Elephas maximus indicus: one gene and its partner. The protein of the gene in region 1 purifies or fractionates together with the protein of each later gene. This does not show direct contact. Links are inferred from orthologs where the notes say so. Each region holds a gene or a part of one and is shown on either strand. Other genes may lie near its edges. The genes, in order: PLEKHM1 and VPS39.

Region 1 (10,805 bases):
ATGAGAATCCGAGGTCTGCATCCCACTGCTCTCCTGCTCCCTCAGGGGTTCTCTGTTGTGTTCCCTGTCAGGGCAGTCATCGGTGGTAGCCAGGCACCATCTAGTTCTTCTGGTCTCAGGCTGATGTAGTCTCTGGTTTATGTGGCCCTTTCTGTCTCTTGGGCTTGTAATGACCTTGTGTCCTTGGTGTTCTTCGTTCTCCTTTGATCCAGGTGGGTTGAGACCAATTGATGCATCTTAGATGGCTGCTTGCTAGCGTTTAAGACCCCAGATGCCACTCTTCAAAGTGGGATGCGGAATGTTTTCTTAATAGATTTTATTATACCAATTGACTTACATGTCCCCTGAAATCATGGTCCCCAAACCCCTGCCCCTGCTACACTGGCCTTCGAAACATTCAGTTTATTCAGAAAACTTCGCTTTTGGTTTAGTCCAGTTGTGCTGACCTCGCCTGTATTGTGTGCTGTCTTTCCCTTCACCTAAAGTAGTTCTTATCTACCATCTAATTAGTGAATACTCCTCTTCCTTTCTCCCTCCCTCCCCATCTCATAACCATCAAAGAATATTTTCCTCTCTGTTAAAACTATTTCTCAAGTTCTTATAATAGTTGTCTTATACAATATTTGTCCTTTTGCAACTAATTTCACTCAGCACAATGCCTTCCAGTTTCCTCCATGTTATGAAATGTTTCACAGATTCCTCACTGTTAATTGATGCGTAGTATTCCATTGTGTGAATATACCATAATTTACTTATCCATTCATCTGTTGATGGGGACCTTGGTTGCTTCCATCTTTTTGCTATTGTAAACAGTGCTGCAATAAACATGGGTGTGCATATTTCTGTTTGTGTAAAGGCTCTTATTTCTCTAGGGTATATTCCGAGGAGTGGGATTGCTGGATCGTATGGTAGTTCTATTTCTAGCTTTTTAAGAAAGCGCCAAATAGATTTCCATAGTGGTTGTACCATTTTACATTCCCATCAGCAGTGTATAAGTGTTCCAATCTCTCCACAGCCTCTCCAACATTAACTATTTTGTGTTTTTTGGATTAATGCCAGCCTTGTTGGAGTGAGACAAAATCTCATTGTAGTTTTGATCTGCATTTCTCTAATGGCTAATGATCGTGAGCCTTTCCTCATGTATCTGTTAGCTACCTAAATGTCTTCTTTAGTGAAGTGTCTATTCATATATTTTGCCCATTTTTTAATAGGGTTATTTGTCTTTTTGTAGTTGAGTTTTTGCAGTACCATGTAGATTTTAGAGATCAGGCGCTGATCAGAAATGTCATAGCTAAAAACTTTTAGGAATCTGTATCTTGAGCCTGTCTCCAGGGGATTCTGATGACTATGGTTCTCCTATTTCCACTTTGAATAACTCTGTTGTTGTTATTATCTATGGAGTCAGCTGCAACTCTTGGTGACTCTGGATACAACATAAAACATTGCCCCGTCCTGTGCCATCTTCCTGATAGTTGTCATGTCTGAGTCCATTGTTGTGGCCACCGTGTAGCACCTTCCGAGGTAGAGAGCTCATCTTCCAGCACTATATAGGACAACAATATTCTGTTGTGATCCATAAAACTTTCCTTGGCTAATTTTTGAAAGTAGATCACCAGGCCTTTCTTCCTTCTGTCTTAGTCTGGCAGCTCCACTGAAAGCTGTCCACCATGGATGATCCTACAGATATTTGAAATACCAGTGCAATAGCTTCCAGCATCATAGCTACCTGCAAGCCACCACAGTAAGACAAACTGACAGACCGGTGGTGGTGAGTAACTGTCCCCTTGCCTGCATCACCCTTTTTCCTACTCACCTGGAAGGCTCAGCTCAAAGTCAGCTACTCCAGGATACCATTCAGATTTCCGTCTCTGGTCCCAACGTTATCATCGCTCAAGTCACACTTGTTGTTGGCTGCGATGACATTGCTCCCCACGTCACACTAATGTGAGTTTCCCCCCGCTCCTCCATCTGGAGTCTACTCAGTGGGCGCACGGTCCATTTATACATTTTGTGTGTGTGTGTGGAAATGTGCACAATGTTTGTGCATCTTCCCTCCTCCCATCCCCGAGAATCCACTGCTTTATTCAGTGACACAAAGGGGTATGCGGTCCCAAAAGAGGGTAGAGCAAGATGAGAATAGTACCATAAGGTAGCAGACTCTGCCAAGAGGCCGGGGAGGCAAGACAAGAGACCACCGATTCCACAGGGTTCCTCACAGTCCTGCAGAGAGTGGATGTGGGGTGCAGGGGCAAGCAGTGGAATAATCGAGGACATTATGTCCTTTATCTGGGGGGAGAGCAAACTTGTACCAAGTCACCGATGCTCTCACGGGACCAATTATGCCAGAAACACTATCTGTTTGCCAAGGTAACTGAATTTCACAAGTAAATCTTACTTCCCACCTTGCTTAAAATTAGTTTAACACCAAGGGACTACTTTGTTTCTATGTCTTCACCTCTAATCTTGCTCAAACATCAACCACTAGTTCTCTGGAATGCACTCTGACCTATCCAGCTTCAAACAGAGGAGGGGTGGCTCTCACTCCTGGAAAGAGAATTACTCAAGGGGCAGTTCACTCCATGCAGTCGGGGGCCAGAACCCCAACTAAGACAGGGAGCAAAGACCCTGAGATGGGAGGGTGCCTGTTTGAGGAATACCAAAGAGATTGGTGTGGTTAGAGGAGAAGCAAGTAAAAGAGAGACAGGCTATACTATCAGGGAGGTAATAGGGGTTTGGGTGTGGAGCCTAGGGACTTATTAAGACAAGACAACAGAGGGCCCCCCAAATCTGGAAACAAAGCAACCAAGAAATTGGGCCCAGTCACAAAAATAAAGCCATTCCCCAGAACAATGGGGCAGGGTATCAGAAAATACCTGGAAGTTGTCTTTCAGAAGTAGCTGGAGAAAACCAGCCCCAAGGACATGCGCAGAACATCCACCTGTGACCGCTGTGTGACCTCCACCAGGGGCAGTGAGAAGCTGCAGCAGCAGCCAGGAGGCTGCGGAGACACGACACCCCATAATAAGTCCTGCTACGAATCCCAGGTGCCTGCGGGACAGGAGCCATCTTGGAAAGCTGCTGCGCACACACAGGCACCGAAGTTAACATATCCTTGCCTATGCCTGTGAATAAACATGAATCTTTTCCCACCCAAGAACATTTTTAATTTTTATGGTGCTTTAAGTGAAAGTTTACAAATCAGGTCAGTCTCTCATACAAAAATTTATATACACTCGTAATTGCTCTCCCCCTAATGAGACAGCCCGCTCCTTCCCTCCACTCTCTGTTTTCGTGTTCATTCTACTAGCTTCTGACCCCCTCTGCCCTCTCATCTCCCCTCCAGATAGGAGATGCTAACATAGTCTCATGTGTCTATTTGATCCAAGAAGCTCATTCTTCACCAGCATCTTTTTCTATCCCATTGACCAGTCCAATCCCTGTCTGAAGAGTTAGCTTTGGGAATGGTTCCTGTCTTGGGCTAACAGGAGGCCTGGGGGCCATGACCACCAGGGTCCTTCTAGTCTCAGTCAGACCATTAAGTCTGGTCTTTTTATGAGAATTTGGGATCTGCATCCCACTGCTCTCCTGCTCCCTCAGGGGTTCTCTGTTGTGTTCCCTGTCACGGCAGTCATCGGTTGTAGCCAGGCACCATCTAGTTCTTCTGGTCTCAGGCTGATGTAGTCTTTGGTTTATGTGGCCCTTTCTGTCTCTTGGGCTCATTTTAATTACCTTGTGTCCTTGTTCTTCATTCTCCTTTGATCCAGGTGGGTTAAGACCAATTGATTCATCTTAGATGGCTGCTTGCTAGCGTTTAAGACCCCTGACGCCCACTCTTCAAAGTGGGATGCAGAATGTTTTCTTAATAGATTTTACTATGCCAATTGACTTAGATGTCCCCTGAAACCATGGTTCCCAAACCCCCGACCCTGCTACGCTGGCCTTCAAAGCATTCAGTTTATTCAGGAAACTTCTTTGCTTTTGGTTCAGTCCAGTTGTGCTGACCTCTCCTATATTGTGTGTTGTCTTTCCCTTCACCTAAAGTAGTTCTTATCTACCATCTAATTAGTGAATACTCCTCTTCCTTTCTCCCTCCCTCCCCCCTCTCATAACCATCAAAGAATATTTTCCTCTCTGTTAAAACTATTTCTCAAGTTCTTATAATAGTGGTCTTATACAATATTTGTCCTTTTGCAGCTGACTAATTTCTCTCAGCATAATGCCTTCCACCGGCCCAAGAACTTTTAAAAACCCAGGCCCATCTTTTGTTCTGTGAGACGGGTGTATGCGTTGCTTTAGGCTCTCCTCATTTCCCCTTGCAAACCTCTTCAATACAGCTCTGCTCATGCGGAAAACTCTACATGCCTTACCTGCTCATTTTTGACCAGTGAGAGGCAAGAACCTTATTCCTGTAACACAACTGCAGCATTAGAGTGGAAGCAGGGGCTGGGACCCCGACCTCAGAAGTGTCAGAGTCACTTTCCTTCCAGGAGAGTCTGAGGGAGCATAGGACACCAGACAAGTTAGTGGAGCTCGCTTCCAAGAACTGGGTTGTTCCCTAAGCACCACTGTATGTCCTTAGGACTTGCATGTAGCAGCACTCCTCCCCCCTTTTCCCGCTCATATTCAGGCTCTCAGGCCCCCATTTGTCCAAGACATTCCCGGCTAAGGCGGCCCAGTTACCGGGCCCTGCGAGCACTTCGCTGCGATAGCTACTTTTTGATATTTTGTTCTGAGTCCATTTGAAAGAGAAATGTCACATTCTACGATGGAAAGAATAAACTTAATGGCTAGATGAGAATGAGCGGATCCTTGAGCTTCGTGCCACGCGGGACGGATGGGCGAAATACAGAAGAGTGCTCAGAGGACCTCAGGGCACTCCTGTGGCATAAGGTGTAGTCCTAACATGTATGTCTTTCCTGCGAACGTCTGGTGAAAAGATTCCCACTTGGGACCGCTCCGCACGCCGGGCTGCGCTGGTGCCCTCCGGGAGGCAACCGCAGGAGAAGTATTAAAAAGCAAAAGCCCAAACCCACTGCCGTCGAGTCAATTCCGACTCATAGCGACCCTATAGAACGGAGCAGAACGGCCCCATAGAGTTTCCAAGGAGCGCCTGGCGGATTCCAACTGCTGATCTCTTCGTTAGCAGCCGTAGCATTTAACCACTACAGCACCAGGGTTTCCAGGAGAAACAGTATTGGTACCATTTTTCAAGCGGGAAGCCTGAGGCTGTGGGAGGCAAAGTGACGGCTCCAAGGTGACGCAAATGGTGCTGAGGCCAAGCCAGGTCAGGGACCCAGAAGCCACGATCTGTCGCATACCCTGTGGGAACAGGGGCCCAGCACCAGTCTTGGGGTCCCATACCTCCACACCATGCCCCTACACTGGCTTCTGGGAACTGCCCCCGGAGGGAGCGGCTGACCCCGCCCCGCGGCCCTGCCGGACTCCATGATTGGCTCTGCGTGCCGGAGGCGGGGCCAGGGCGCCGTGCCAACGTGATGGCGTCAGACGTCGCTGGAGCTGCTTCCTGTTGTCAGTGGCCGGGAGGGCGCAGCTTCCGGTTAGAGGCTGAGGGGCTGCAGCGCCTGTGAGTGACCCTCGCCCCCTCCCCGCTCCCTTTGGTGAGTCAGGGGTCAGGGGGCGAGGAGGGCAGCTGAGGGGCGGCGGGGCGGAGACGCGAGCGGACGATGGGTCTCCCGCCCTCTCCGTGATCACAAACCCTGGCTGCTTCGAGACCGACTTCAGAGCCCCCTACCTTTCCCAGCCCAAGCCCCCCGCCCCGCCCGGTTCCCTGTCCGCCCCACTCTGACCCCAGCCTTCGGCCTCCATTGCCACTGCAGGGCCGTCCCCTCCATCTTCTCTCACCCGTGACCTGAACCCAGCTCTTACCCCCATCCTCTCACTGTCCATCTTGCGTAAATGCAGCGTCGCCCCAGACCCCACTCTAGCCCAATTCCAACCGCAATCTCAGCCACATTCCTCTGCCTCCCCCTAACACATCTCATCCTTACCCCTCAACCCCTCTGGCAATCCTCATTCACTACGCAAACCTCCCCCAGTTCACTATTTGGGATTTTCCTTTTGTGTTCAACTTTCTTATCCCAATCTGTCATACACCCTTTCTGTGCTCCCTGAGGTCTGCTTTCATTTAAGAACCACCACCGAAGTAGGCGCCCTCCTTGAGTGCACCCCTTTCTTCTTGATAATTATGATCATAGTCATTTCCCAGGTTTTATATGTATCTTGTTCTCACAGACTTGGTCTCTAACTCCTTAGTTCATACACTTTTTCACTTTATAACTCCAGTCGTCCTTCCACCTCCTACCATCCTGGAGGACACCCCATTCCCTAAGTCTTTGCTAAACTGCCCCCAACTCTTACTGCCCTGTTTCCTGCTAACCCTCATCCAATCTTCTCGAAAACCAAGTCTCTGTGTCCTTTCACCTCTGCTGTCCCCACCCCCATACTTCACACCCATTCTTCTCTTGACCCAGCCCACATTCAACTGCATCCCCTGCCAACCTCACCAGCTGCCCTTTGGCAGCCAAATCTAGGTGCTTGTTTAGAGCCAGGCAATTAGAGACTGAACAGCTTGAGTGGGTGTGTGCAGGGCCTCAGGTGGTAAATAAGTGTCAAGGAGTAGACCCCTCTGGAGTTGAAGTTTTTCTTAGTGCCTAATCCCCTGTACCTCTTCCCAGGGACATTGTTTCTAGCATTCATATTAAATTACTGATGCTGACTGCTGGAGTGGTAGGCATCATCGAAATACTTGGAAGGTGAGGGACAGTCACTCATCCAGCTCATTAGGCCTGGGGCGACAGAAGCCATCACTTCCTTTTGGCTGGTATTCTGGCCTTGAAAACCTCGGAGGGCCACTGTGTGAGGTTGGCCGTAGTCACAGAACCCAGTGTTTCTACCTGCCAGTGCTGATTGTAAGTCAGTCCCAACTCTGAACACAGGGGACATGATAGGTGCCAGGGGCAATGTTGTATGTTGTAAAGAGTATAAGTGAGTAGGTCCTGGGGAGGCTGAGACCTAGGTGGATACAGATACCACTGAATCGCTTCATTTTTTTGCAGGTGCTGGATCATTGAGTTTTGACTGTTTTAGGTCACTCATGACACAGGGAGCCAAGTTATCTCAGAGTAAATGAGGCAGAAAGACATCCTGAGGCACCCAGGCCCCATGCTCAGCATTTATAGTCTCCTGGAGCTTTTTGATGCACATCTTCTCCAAACTCTGATGGCCTGGCTTTAGAAGAGTTGGCCATCCTCATACAGTAATTTGAAAGGGCCCCCAAAAGAACCCATTGTCTTTGCTTACCGTTTTACTGTTATAGTCTGTGATTCCTCAAAAATCGAATGTGGTTCAGTATCCCCCCATTAAAGTGCAATATATCTACATGGTTTTCAGCCTTATCCACAGTTTGGTTTAATGGAAAAAGTAATGGTCTTAGTTCTCTAGTGCTGCTATAACAGAAATACCACAAGCGGGTGGCTTTAACAAACAAATTTATTCTCTCATAGTCTAGGAGGCTAGATGTCCGAATCCAGGGGGAGGCTTTCACTCTCTAGGGGACGGTCCTTGTCATCAATCTCCCCCTGCTCTAGGAGCTTCTAGGGACCCCGGGTCCAAAGGACATGTGCTCCTAGCTCATCTAGCTTGGTGGTAGTGAGCCCCTTTGTCTCTCTGCTTGCTTCTCTCTTTTATATCTCAGAAGAGATTGAAGATACAACCTAATCTTGTAGATCGAGTCCTGCCTTACTAACATAACTGCCTCTAATCCTACCTCATTAACATCATAGAGGTTAAGATTTACAACATATAGGAAAATCACATCAGGGAACAAAATTGTGGACAGTCACACAATTCTGGGGATCATGGCTTAGCCAAGATGACACACATTTTTGGGGGACACAATTCAATCCGTCACAGTAACATAATGGCCCCACCACTTACAAGTTGTATACCTTAACTTCCCACAGTCTATGAAATGGAAATAGTAATATTGCTCTGTGCTTTATTTTTATTTCATTCATTGATTCATTCATCAAGCATTTATTGAGCACATCATGCTTAGCAAAATACAGGGTCAGCAGAAAAGAGGAAGACCGTCAATGAGGTGGATTGACACAGTGGCTGCAACAATGAGCTCAAGCATAACAGCGATTGTAAGGATGGCTCAGGACCAGGCAGTGTTTCATTCTGTTGTGCATAGGGTCGCTATGAGTCAGAACCGACTTGACGGCACCAAACAAAAACAACTAACAACTACTGTGTGCCAGGCACTGTTCTAGGCACTGGAAATGCGATGGTGAATAAGTCAGGCAAAGTGTGCCTGTTTTCATTTATTCAGAATTTGGTCCTATCTAGAATCCTACAGGATATGGGTCAGGAATATGGGGGAAATGGGATTACTGGGTGGAAGGGAGGAGGGAGGAAAGAAAGATATGCGGTGTTCACCAACTTCATAGGTCTGTCCTGGCCCACTAGTCCTTGGTCTGAGAATCATAAGCTTCTAGAAGTTTCTTGCCGTATAGCTAGCATTGAATTGCAACAGAGTCCACCCTCATCCCCAACCCACACAGGGCAATTTTCTAAAAATCCAACTTGGATTTCTTCAGGTGGAAGGAAGGTGCTGTTTACTTACTCAGCGCTCATATGTCTGAAAGATCAACTGCCTTTCTGAATCAGATGACCTTGTCATTCTTTTCCATACTGACTACTTTGTCATTCCTTTCCAACTGAAAACAACATGAGTCATCTATTGGTACAGCAGCTGAGTGTCCTATGCCAGGCTGTTCTGAACCACCAGGTACTGGATTAGATTCAGCCGGTGCTGGCAAGGCTGTTGGGAGTGGCTGAGAAGTCTAAAGAGAAGAGCTTGCTGTTTACTGATTTGCGTTGAAAGCAGTGAAGCCAGTTTATCCATTTCTTCTTTTAATGTAAGTCTTCGTCTAAGCCATTATTTTCTCTTTGGTCTCCAGAGGAAGTGAGATTGGACATATACAGAAAGCCAAGCAGTATAATGAAGAAGAGGAAGCAGGACAGTTCCTTCCTAACTGTGTGCTAGAACATTTAAGAAAGGCAGCTCTGAAACTTGGGCACTGTGGAATGGACCTTGGCTCAGGTGATTGGGGCTACAGATCTGACTGGCAAGACGTGTTGGTTTTAGGCCTTGTTTGATGGTAGATAAAATGGAACTTCTGCATCTCTTAAAAAATCTGTAACTAACTTTTGCCTGAAATTCTTTGAGCCAGAGACCTGAGACGGTTTGATGTGCTGGAAAGAAACAGGACTTGGAATGCAGAAAGCAGAAAGTTCAGTCCCTTACCTGAGGGCCATTTCTACACAGCTTCGGTTTTCTTTCCTGTAAAATGGAAATAACCATCCTCCTTCCCAGGATTGTTCTAAGAATTAAATGAAGTTAGAGAATGAGATCAGAAAAGCTTGCTTTGCTCACTCCAGAGAGCTGTATAAGGAGAAATCGGTGCTCGGACTGGAAGTAGACAGAGCCTCTGTGTCACGTGATCTGGAGTTCTTAAAAGGGTAGAAACCACCTTCTCTCCACCTCAGACTTCCACTGTAATCTTTTGAGAGCAGTTTATGGTGTTGCCCAAGTTTTCCCATTACTCCCGTCATCGTAGAGGTTCCTTGAAGCTCTACCTCTCTTGATTTGGTATTTGGTTTGGGTGAAAAGTGCTTGAGGACAGGAAGCAAACTCAATCCCATACAATGGTAGATTTGAGGCCTGGCCCGTAGGATGATGGAGTGCTGACCCAGCAGTCAAGAGACCCAAAGCCCTGTTCTGGTTCCACTAGCAATTTCTTGTGTCCTGGATGGTCAGATTCCTGCCTCCGAGCTGGTTTCCTTCCTCTCTGAGGCGTTATGGAACAGATGTGAATACGTACGGTGACTTGGCTTCCTTCATAGAAAGGTATGCCCTGAATTGTGGCTTGAATCCCAAAGACTTAGTCCTGTTTTTGTGAATTGTCAAGTGACTGGCTTTCTTCCTGGATTCCTCTGAGCTATTGTCATTTTACGGCTTTCTGACACTGTTTGAGGAGACAGTTAATTGCCTGGCCCTGCTCTGACCTCTTAGCTTCAGTTTAATTTGGTTTAGCAGAGGGTTACTTGGCTGGAGCACTCATTGACTGCCCCCCCCCCCACAAAGAATATGCTGTTATTTTTTATGTATTTATTTTTTGACATTGGGAATATACACAGCAAAACATACACTGATTCAACAATTTCTGTATGTACAATTCAGTGACACTGATTACATTCTTAGACTTTTGTAACCATTCTCACCCTCCTTTTCCAAATTGTTCCTCCCGCCATTAACATAAACTCACCTCCCACTAAATTGCCTGTCTAATCTTTCTAGTTGCTATTGTCAGTTTGATCCCACATAGATAGTCCTTAAAAGAACACAATGCTCACGACAGACGTTCTTTACTGGTTAAGCTAAACGGTTGTTTGGTTTAAAGAATACTTCAGGGGTATTTTTGGTGTAAGGTTTAACGATTATCTCAGCAGTAGTTTCTGGGGTTAAGCATACTATATTATTCTTATTTAATTATAGGTCTTTGAGTCAGTTCATTCTGGTTTGAACCCCTGCTGATAAATTTGCATTTCCACCCCAGATATACTGAATCAGGATCTACAGTTTAATAAGATCCTCAGGTGATTCTTAAGCATAATAAATTTTGAGAACCACTGCTTTACTAGTGGTTCTCATAATTGGTCGCTAACCAGCAGTATTAGCATCACCTGGGAACTTGTTAGAACTACAGATTCTCGGCAGG
Region 2 (11,329 bases), on another chromosome or scaffold:
CTCTGATGGCTAATGATTGCAGCAAGCATTTCCTCACGTGTCTCTTATCTGCCTGAGTGTCTTCTGTGGTGAAGTGTCTGTTCATATCTTTTGTCTATTTTTTAATTGGATTATTTGTCTTTTTGTTGTTGAGGTACTGAAGTATTCTATAGATTTTAGAGATTAGACCCCTGTTGGATATGTTGTAGCAAAAAACCTTTTGAAATTTTTGAGTTCTTTTCAGGGCTATAATTTCAATGAAACATTAGTCCTATTAGAATGTAGAACATGTTTGTCTTTTCTATACAGTTCCAGTAATTCTGATTCTTTTTTGTATTTGCCCTTTTTTTTTTTTTTTCCTGGAAATGAATATTCCACTGTCATTTTTGAACCATTGTACATTGTTCAATTTGGTATTTTTGTTTTTTTCTTTCTTTGCAGAGCACTTCCGGCCCTTCTGGATTCAGACGAGGTCAGTAATCAAATCTTGGGCGTGAACTCTGTGAATCTGGTGACTTAGTAGGAAATTATGAGTCCTCTGGTCAAGGAGATTCTACTTATTTGACTCAATAATGGCTCCAAAGGACTATAGTTGGTATAGTTGAAAAAGGATAAGAATGGACATACTAATATTAGAACTCAGATATTCAAGAAAACTCTCAGTATTACCTGTACCTGTCTTGCTTTTCTTTTTCAGAGTTATATGGTCTTACTTGAGGATGCCTGTTTAAATTTGGTACCAATACGATACTCTGCCTCTGTGTAGTTCCCTTATCTTTAAGAAATTCAAATTTAACCTTAATCTAATCTCGGCAAAAATAGTTAAGGACAAGTGTTGAAAGGAATATAGTAGACTAGCACAAAGTATAAATTATTAAAAATTATCTACTGTTTAATGTTATCTGTATTATTACCCTCTTCAAATAACTAGGATTATAATTAGTACTCTAATGTTTTTGCTGATATTTAATCTTTTTTTTAATTGAAGAATACTTATTTTAAAAAATACTGTGTTTTTGGTGAAAGTATACACAGCAAATCAGATTTTCATTTAACAATTTCTATACATATTGTTCAGCGACATTGGTTATTACATTCTTCACAATATGTCAGCATTCTCATTTCCATTTTTGTTGTTATGTTTTCGTAATCTAGCTCCCATGTCCCCTGCTTACCTTTTCGTCATTGATCCAGGGTGAATGTTTTCCATTTGTTTCATTTAGATGATTTTTTTTTTTAGATGATTATTTAGAGGAGCACAGTAGTCAGGGGTGATAATTTATTTTGTGGGCCAATCTGTCATTTGGCTGCAAGGTGACCTCTGGGAGTGGTTTGAGTTCCAAGTTCAAAGGGTATCCCAGGGTGATAATCTTGCGGACTCATCTAGTCTCTACCAGCCAATATGGTTCTTAATCTTTTAGTATACCTCCATACGGTTTATCTACAAGGCTTCAAATGAAGTTTTATGTAAGAGTTGCAATCTGAGATCATGGGAACTAGTTTTAGACATGTTTGGAATATTAGGTTATTCCAGGACTTCTTAATTTCAGAAAGTCTTTTGGGAGCATCTTGCCTGATTTTAATTCCCTGTATTAGATAGGCTGCTATAAAAGTTGTTTGTTCATTTCCTGCTGACCTGCTGTGTGAAGCAGCATACAGTGTGAAATTCTTTAGCTGTTGAATTGAAATAATTAAAAACTCTACCATTCAGAGTTAAACCTGTCGACATAACACTGCGATGTGTTCTACATTTTCCATATCGTCTTGCAGTAATACATCTACAGCGCTCCATCTGGGGTCTTCTCTGCTGATTGTCTGCCTCAAGGCATCCCTTTGGCTTTAGGCCTCTAAACCAAAAACTCAAACCCCCTGCTGTCGAGTCCTGTGTGCAAATACTATGCAAGACTTTGTAATAATACCTAGTAAATACCAAGGGTTTTCTTTTTGAAAACTGAAAAAGAACAAATGACTTGTGAGGGAATAAATTGCCTAAAGGAGCAGGAATCAAAACTGCATCAGACTCTCATCCAGCAGCCTCGGAAAGGAGAAGATGCCAGAGCAGCGCTGTTGAATTCTGAGAAAAGTTATTTTCAGTGTAGAATTCTACACCCAGCCAAACTGTGAATAAAAGGGTTAAAAAAAAAGATGTTTTCAGAAACGCAAGAGGTAAAATAATTTATATCCTGTGCGTGCTTTCTCAGGAAAGTAGTGGAAAATGTTCTCCACAAAAACGAGGAAATCAACTAAGAAAGAGAATGGCATGGGATCCAGGAAGTAAGGGATCCAACATGAGAGAGCGCCAAGGATAATTCAAGGGGGGAAAAATGAAAACCACAGATTATCTGATGGGATTGATCATACTGAAAAGGGATTTATAGTTCAGTTTGAGTTTGGGATACATTTGTGATAGGTACTTGGCAAATGAAGCAAAGGAAAAGTGAAAAAAATACTCTAAGGTAAAAAATTTTGCAAGAAAGGAAATTATAATGGTAGTACATGTAATTTTCTTAACTGAATTTGGATATTGTACATAGTGTTTTATAGTCAAATGAAATTTTAATTAGTATATATTATTTCATTGTAAGCATATACTGTAGTTTGTTTATACGTCCCTATGTTTTTGGACATTTAGTTCTTTGTAATATTTTGCTATAACGCTGAGTGTTGCAGTGGACATGATTGTGGCTAAATCTTTGCCTACGTCCTTGAGTATTACTTCAAGATAAATTCCTAAATCAGAGGAGGTACATATTTTTATTAAAGCTTAATCTTAACTAAATTATTTATTTAATCATTTTAATTGCCTAAAATATATTTCTTTTAATTTGTGGTTTGAGGTTCAGAAGCCTAGAGATTTTGATTTAGTTGCTCTTCGCTGGGGCCTGTACATTTGTATGTTCTAAAACGTCAGTAGACAGTTAGGAACCATTGCTCTAAATATTGAATTAACATGAGCAAGGACTTGTGGAAAATAATACATGTGCATAGTCTACGTAGAAGATACTTGAAATGTGGCTAATTTTAACTAAACATTTCTTTTTCCCCTAGGAGCGAATGATCACACACTTTGAAAGGTCCAAAATGGAATAAAGAATAGGAAGAATTGCAATTGAAGATGGCTAGTATCAGGGAAGAGATCAGCTTCCGTGTCAGTCTTCCGCCACTGCTGTGTGGGGTTACTGGAGGCAACGACTTCCTGATCTGTTCCCTGATCTTGCTGCATTGGAGCTGGCGAGAGGTGTCAGAACAAGGAGAATCTTACCGAAAACAAGTTCATAGGATGGAAAAAATCTATAAGTTTCTGATTTCCAACATTGATACCCCTTCCCCTCCCACACCCTGACATGGATGTTTATGCAACTTATATGTGTTGTTCCTGAGCCCTCTATAATGTTTCAGTTGTTTAACCTGTCAAACTAAAAAGTTTAACGTCTTCTAAAGGACTGTGACATCAAGGTCATAATATGTAATCTCCAGGAACAACTGCCTGTGATTTTATTTATTTAGGAAGTTACATAGGTGATGGGGGAAATTGTTAATTATCTTTCAGTTTCCTGGGAAGCCAAGGTTACTTCTTGCAGAGATAGTTTTGAGAACAAAGGGCCCTTCTGAGTTAAGGAGCCACTGTTCTGTCAGTGATTAAAAGAACAGCAACAACAACAACAACAACGAAGCAAGAGAGACACTTACAGTGTGATTCAGATCCTTTAAAAAAGCAAAATCAAGTGCAATTTTGTTTACAAATGGTGTATATTAAAGATTTTTCTATTTCAGATGTAACTTAGAAATACTAGCTTAACTCCTTTGACATCTGCTATTGTGACATATCCCATTGCTGGCAATGTGGTGCACACTTGGGAACTTTTAACTACTGTTTTGTAAGCCTCCCAGGGCGGCGTTTTGGCATTCTAGGCGATGCTTTGTTTGCCTTCCTGCCGTTCACTGGGTGGTGCACTCCGTGCACAGAGGCACTCCATCTAAGTGCTTGTGAGCGAGCTCCCAGCTAGAGGAACTGTAATGCTTCAGAAATGGGAGCTTGGTCCAGAGGAAGCAGGTCCTTCTGGCTTAATTCACAGTTACTCCTGCATGCCGCCATGTGGAGGCCCTGGATGCTGCTTTTTCTTTAGGACTGGCTGTTTTTATATCTGGTGTTGGTTCAGAGACTAAGAAGCATTGCAAGGTGATGGGGTTTATTTGAAGCACTATATTTCTGTTTTAATGGTTTTCTCCAATTTTGCCTTCCCAAGATTTTTGTTCTACATAAAAAGTTCGTGCCACTTTTTAATATAAAAAATTTTAACAAAATTATTGTTTTTTCTCATTTTTTTTCAGACTTTATTCTGATAAACTTGTTCTCTCCAAAACTCTGCCTTGAGGGAATTTTTCTTCCATGGTTTTATTCTAGGTAGTCCTGTATTCTGTACAATCCAGTGACCATAATCGTCACTAACTCCCAGTGAAAGTCTGAATATTTATGTAGCATTTCTCTGTAGCTCCTCACTATGGTGATTAAAAAACAAAACACAGTACTTCTAAGGACTAACAGTATGAAGAACTGACTTCCATGCTAATCCATTGCCGTGGGTTGTTACTGTCAAACCACGTTGACAGTAACCCATGTTGTTGTCATGCGTACTTTTGTCTTGAATACTAAAACTTGGCAGGTGAGTAATAGTTATAATGCAGCAGTTTAGTTGGTTCAGATGTTTTTTAAGGATAGTTAGATGTTGAGTTGAGACTAGGAAAAAAAAAAAATCTGTATTCAGCAAGACCATATAGTATAAATTCTATAGGCTGAGGCCTGATAATTCTTTCTGCTCTCTTAAGACTTCCTGTGTTAATGGGATTGAATATGTGTCATTTCTTGGGGCAGGGCAGGTTCAGAAGGAATGCATAATTTCACCTTGACCTATTACCTTAGAGTTTACACTGTTTATTTTGTTCTTGGCTTTCGGCACTGGAACTAAAAATAGGCCTCCTTCTAGCACAGCAGTTGGCAATTTAAAATTTTCAAGAAGGTGATCAGCCTATCTGGTGAAAGTCAGCCATAACACAAGATTTGCTTAGCGGTTTTTGTGTTTCTGACTACTTTAAAATATGTCATTTGATTTTCAGATACAGCATTTGTAAAGGACATACCTGATGTTTTCCTGAAGGAGGCAGGGCTACCAGATACAGCTTATGCTTTCAAATTAAATTTAGTTTTTGTTTTTGTTATTTTTAAGTCTCCAGAGTAATACTGCGGTAAACTCAGTCTCTTATCGTCCTAAAAGCCTGGGGATATGAAGGTTGTAAGACACAGCTTGAGAGAGTTGAATTGGTGGGAGTGGGATCAGAAATTTTAAAAGGGTTAATTTTACTGTCTCCCAAGATTGCTGAATCAACTCTTGCTGCCTAGACCCCTGCTACTCAAAATGTAGTCCAGGGACCAGTGGCATCAGCAACACCTGGGCACTCGTTAGGAATGCTCAGTTGAGGGCCCTACTGGGGACCTGCTGAATTAGAATCTGCTTTTTAAACAAGAAGGAGCCCTGGTGGCACAGTGGTTAAAGTGCTTGGCTGCTAACCAGAGGGTGGTGGTTGGAATCCATCAGCCACTCTACAGGGAGAAAAGTGTGAAAGTCTGCTCTGGTAAAGATTCACAGTCTTGGAAACACTATGGGGCAGTACTACTCTGTCCTGTAGAGTTGTTAAGAGTCAGATTTGACTCCAGCAGTGGGTTTGGTTTGGTTTTAAACAAGATCACCAGGTGATCTGTATGCCCTTTAAGGTTTGAGAAGTATTGGCCTAGAACAGTGTTTCTCACCCAGGGATGATTTTGCCTCCACCCTGCCCTCCCCAGCAGAGGACACCTGGCAATGTCAGAAGACATGTTATAACCCCCTGGAGGGTGCTATTGGCATCTAGTGGGTAGAAGCCAGGGATGCTGCTAAACATCCCACAGTGCACAGAACAGACCCCCACAACAAAACAAGTATCCTGCCCTAAATACCAATAGTGCAGCAACTGAAGAACTGGCTAGAACAGTCCTTCTCAAGCTTTAGAGTGCATGGACTTACCTTGGGGGCTTATTAAAACAGATTGCTGGACCCCCAACTCCCAAGTTTCTGATTCAGTAGGGCTGGAGTGAGGCCTGAGACTACATTTCTAACAAAGTTCCCAGGTGATGCTGCTGCTGCTGCTGCTGCTGCTGCTGGTCTAAGGACCACACTATGAGAACCACTGCCCTAGAATGACATTCTAGTTAGAGTAATAATGACAATGCTAACAACCACCATTTATGGGGACCCCTGGTGGTACAGTGGTTAGGCATTCACTTGCTAACCAGAAGGTCGCAGTTGAATCCACCAGCCGCTCCTTGGAAACCCTATGGGACAGCTCTACTGCCCTACAGGGTCACTATGAGTCAGAATCGTCGCAATGGGAACGTAGCGTTTACTGAGTGCTTAAAGGGGTCAGGCCTCGCTAAATCGTAGGTACTTAGACTACCCTCATTTTGCAGGGTAGGAAACAGGCTGGAGAGATTAAATTTCCTGGAAGTCATGGCTAACTTTCTAAAGGGCAGGTCTTCCAAGTCTGACTGACGCCAAAACATGAATTCTTAGACCACCACGCTATGCTGCCCAAGGAAGTTCTAAGATTATTTCCTTCCTTGTTAAGCCCATGGCTACTCGGCCTCCCGCCAGAGAAACTCTGGGTCTAGGGCGACGACGGAAACAAGCCAGCACCCCTGCGGTCCTTGAGGATACGCCGGGAGCCGGGCGGAAGGGGCGGGCCCTCGACGGCGGAAAGGGCGGGCCTACGCCGGCCGGAAGTCTGGGGTTGATGATGGCTGTGTTGCAGCTGGGCCCGTAGTTGGGGGGTCCCTGGTCGGATCCCTGTCTGCCCTTGCCCAGTCCCGGCCCGGCCCCCTCGGGGTGAGACGGCGGCGGCGCCGACTCTCCTCGCCGCGATGCACGACGCGTTCGAGCCGGTGCCGATCCTAGAAAAGCTGCCTCTGCAGATCGACTGTCTCGCCGCCTGGGGTGAGCGGAGGGGTCACGGGCCGAGGCGGGGCCAGCGCGGGAGCGGCCCGGACCTTTCGCGAAGGCTGGGAAAGTGGACAGGCGTCTGGCTGTGTGGGCTCCGGTCGGTCGCTGTCCGAGAGGGCCTGGGACGAGGGAGGGCAGCGATGTGACCGGCTGTGGACAGGGAGGGCGGTGGGGGTGCTTGGGCGATTTCCAGTGCTCCAGGCATTTTAGGGACGTTTCACCCGCGCGCACCGTGCGGAGTTGGAGATGGAGCTTTCCTTATTAGTTGTACTCAGCTTTGATCCGTTTCAATTCCAAGAAGGCTTCAGTTTGGAGGGCCAGTGCATTGGGGAGTTCTCAGCCTGCCAGGGGCTTGGGCTTGTCCAGGTGATTGTGTTCTTTCCTAGGTGAAACACACTGGCCTTTTTTGTTCACTGAGCAAGTTAACACCAAATGCCTTATTTTCTTTCCCTCAGTGATCACTCATTGTTCACTTTTGGCTCCTGCAGGTAATTCACATCGTTACTTTAAATTCTTAACTAGCCAAGTGGTTGATTGCTCATATCCACAGAGCCCAAGTTACCTAACTGTAGGTAAAGAGCATTATTGCAGACTGTCATGAGACCTAGCCAATAAAAGCTTACATAATCCTTTTAGGATTGGCCAGTGCAGAAAGCAGGGTCAGGCATCTCTTGTGTGCCCTGGAATACAAATGAATGTTTCAGGAGTCCCAACCTTCACTCTTAACTATGAACACTGTGCTCTTTGAGTAGTTCTGTCTGATAACAGCCACCAGAGACCAAGCAGAAATTCAGTTTTTCCTGTTAATGTCCAAGTCCTAGAAATCAAGGACCATAAGAAGGAAGCTCAGAACCCATGGGATCTTATACTGAGCTAGGAACCCCCAATGGCCGTGGTGGTGGCCGGCATTGTATGCATTATCTGTTGCCTGTGGCACCCCGTCATCCTTGTGGAATTTTTCATGGCTTTTTCAGTAGGGCTCTTTCACCACAACATGTTAATGTTGCCTTTTTGAAATGAGACCTTCACAGAAAGACGTCCTAGTCTTTTGGATTAAGCAGAGACTCCTACTTAATCCAGACATCTCAAGAAGGTCTGTTTCCTGTCATTAAATGTTCTCAGTAAAATTTTAAAATAAGTAATGGAGAAAAAAAAAATAATAAGAGCCGACCCACTGCACAAAGGATTCATTTCCCTATTTCTTCATCAAGTATGTGTTGGGTCCCTTCAAGACCAATCTCTCTGCTAGGGTCAGGGATACAGGGATGAATAAGAAACAGTGCCTGTGCTCCTGGAACACAGTGGGGGACTCAGAAACGTGAACAGATTTTGATTCAAGATAAATGATACTAGATGCAGCCTGTTACAGGAGCACAAGGCCTAGGACATACGCTTCTGAAAACGATTGATGTAGCTGCTTATGACACCTGATTTAGCTTGTCAGAGTCCCAGCGTACATAGGAAATACTTCTTGAAAATTACTCATTATTGAGCGCCTTGACTCTGATACCCTATGGAACCATTAGTACAGGTATCTGTGAGCCTCCTTCACCACCTCTACTGTATCACAGTAAAGAGTCCCCGTACCTCTGCTTCTGAGGAACACAGTTTTGAAATGCCAGCGTCTGGCCTCACTTGATCCCCCACCGAAGAGGAGAAATGCCCTTTGCCTCCTAGGATGCTGTAGGAGGTATTGGGCTACAAGAGACCATTTACTGTCTCCTCCCTCAAAGCCCTGGTGGTACAATGATAAGGTGCTTGGCTGCTAACTGAAAAGGCTGGTGGTTCAGACCCACCCCATGGCTCTGCAGGAGAAAGACCTGGTGATCTGTTTCTATAAAGATTACAGCCAGGAAATCCCTCTGGAGCAGTTCTGCTCTGTCACATGGGGTCACTGTGAGTCAGAATCAACTCAGCAGCACCCAACAACAGCAACCTTAGAGCTACTTTATTTTCAGTCTGTAGCAGCCATAAATATTCTATTTTATTCTTGTCTAAATATTTCTGGTTTGCTATGAGTCAGAATCAACTTGACAGCAATGGGTTTGGTTTTTTTTTAATATTTCTGTTTCTAGTCATCACCCCTTTTATGGAAAGTTCATCAAGGAAACTCCAGGAGCCAGATCATGCAGGGCGAGACAATATTTGGGCTGGAAGGTGTCTTAGAGACACCAGAACTCACCTGGGAAATGGCAGTGAGGTGGGCACTGATGACGATGACAACTTTTCCCTAAACTCCAGACTTGTTTATCCAACTGCTTTTTCAGCATCTTCATTTGAATGTCTAATAGCATGGCCAAAACAGAATTCTTGATTCCACTCCCCCAAAACCTGTCTCTCCTGCAGTATCCCACGCCTCAGTGAATGGCTTTTCTATTTGGCTCAGGCGAAACACCTTGGAATCATTCTTGACTTCTCTCATTCTCTTATACACCACATCTAATCCATCAGCAAATCCTGCCAGCTCCACCTCCAGAATAAACCTAGAATCCAGTCTCTTCCCTCCGTCTCCACTATTACTACTCTTGATGAAGGCCCATCATCTCTCATCTGAGTTATTACAGTGGAGTCCTACTACTGTGTTTGCCTTGTGCTGTTTTCAGTGTTTTATCCACACAGAGATAGAATGATCCTTTGAAAACCTCAATCTGATCACATCTCTCCTCTGCTCAAAGTCCTCTGGTGGCTTCACATCACAACTCTACTTCCAGAGACCTTACTGTGGCTGACAATACCTGGCACGCTCAGGCCTGTGGTTACACCCCTCACTTTATCTCCTACACTTGTACCCTTTGCTCCTTCTGGTGCTGGTCACAGTCTTCCTGTTGTTCCATGAACACACAAAGCACATATATACCTCAGGACCTTTGCACTTGCTGTATCCATCCTCTGCTTGGAACTCTCGTGCCCTAGATACCACATGGTTCCTTCCTCATGTCATTCAGGTCTCTGCTGAGATGTCACCTAAGTCAGTGAGACCTTCCCTAACTACCCTGGGTAAAAGAGGGTGTCATATCCACCAATGCTGTATTCCCTTACCAAGCCTTACCTTTCTTATCATGATCACCACCCAGTGTTATGTTATCTCTCTGTGTATTGTTTTTTTCACACCACATTAGAATATAAGTTTTTTCAGAGAAGGAACTTGGTCTTGTACATTGCCGTATCTGAAATGCTTAGGATAGTTCTTGACGCACAGCTGGGTATTGTTAAATAGATTCTTAATTAAGAGTAAAAATGATACTAATAGTAATAGCTTTGATTTATTGAGTACCAATCTGTATTTGGCCTTGTGCTAAGTGCTTTAATGGAATAATAACAATGCCATTTTATAGAGGAAGAACCTGAAGCTTGGAGAAGTTAGATAATCTTTGTAAAGTCACAGACCCAGTAAATCACGTCTGATTTCAGAATCTGGTTTATATACTTTAGTGTACACCAGAGCCTGTAAAAAATGCAGGTTTGTGAGTGTGTTTAGTACGTGAGTATACACACGCATTTACTTGTATTTTTTTTAAAAAAAAAAGGGAAGGATAAACCAGTCATGACTAAAATGATTACCTGTAGCAGAAGGGAAGTGACAGGGTGAAGTAACAAGGAGGGAAGCTAAGACTTCTCATAGTTTTAGCTTTGGAACTGCATAAATGGTTCATATAAACATTAAAAAAACAAAGTAAAAATTAAAAATGTAGATTTCAAGACACCGCCTCAGAGTCTGTGAATCAGAATCTCTGGGAGCAGGGCTCAGGACGGTGCGTTTTTAATTAGTCCAGGTGATTCTGATGCCCCTAGTCAGGGGTTTATGCTTTGAGAAACACTGTCTGCCGTACAACCCCGAGAAGGAAAGTGACCAGTACCGTATTCATCTATGTACTGCTGCAGTGGCCTGCATGGGGCCAGGAATGAATTGGTTGTTATAGGAGGGCCTTGCACTGTTGGATGGAGCTTCAGTACGGTAACTATGAGCAAGAAGGCCCAGCCTTACTTCCCAGGAGGGACCAAGTCCAACCTTGTGGCTCAGGATTAGGTCTCCAGGAGTTTTCTAGGGCTGTCTCTGTTTCTTTATGTGTGTTACCCATTTGCATAGGGTGTTCCACCTTCTGGTATGCAGTACTGGCTCCAAGAAGGGACTGTCCACCCTGTGCTGTACCTGCTCTGCAAGCTTGTCCTTCTCTGTTGTGTATGCGCAGCTGTGTTACATGATGACATGTCATCGAGACTGGAGGGCCCAACCCGGCTCAGGACCTCTGGCTGCCTGAGCCTCCACTGACTTCTGTAACCCAGGCATACCTCTTCAGGGCTCCATGTCATTGGAACTT

Evidence for each region.
Region 2: the proteins of PLEKHM1 (region 1) and VPS39 purify together in Homo sapiens (co-immunoprecipitation; 3 studies listed by BioGRID and IntAct, with this or other methods). This does not show direct contact. The link is inferred for Elephas maximus indicus from reciprocal best matches to the Homo sapiens genes PLEKHM1 and VPS39.

What each region holds. Positions count from the first base shown.
Region 1 is NC_064837.1:51,819,864-51,830,668, reverse strand, and holds the start of PLEKHM1 (pleckstrin homology domain-containing family M member 1), read left to right. Parts: upstream 1-5,499; 5' UTR 5,500-5,584; exon of another isoform or gene 5,585-5,618; intron 5,619-8,726; exon of another isoform or gene 8,727-9,127; intron 9,128-10,805. UniProt on the Homo sapiens protein: Acts as a multivalent adapter protein that regulates Rab7-dependent and HOPS complex-dependent fusion events in the endolysosomal system and couples autophagic and the endocytic trafficking pathways.
Region 2 is NC_064828.1:13,765,035-13,776,363, forward strand, and holds the start of VPS39 (vam6/Vps39-like protein), read left to right. Parts: upstream 1-6,781; 5' UTR 6,782-6,931; coding exon 6,932-7,004; intron 7,005-11,329. Other genes in the region: TMEM87A (transmembrane protein 87A), read left to right, coding at 421-451, 3,028-3,069. UniProt on the Homo sapiens protein: Regulator of TGF-beta/activin signaling, inhibiting SMAD3- and activating SMAD2-dependent transcription.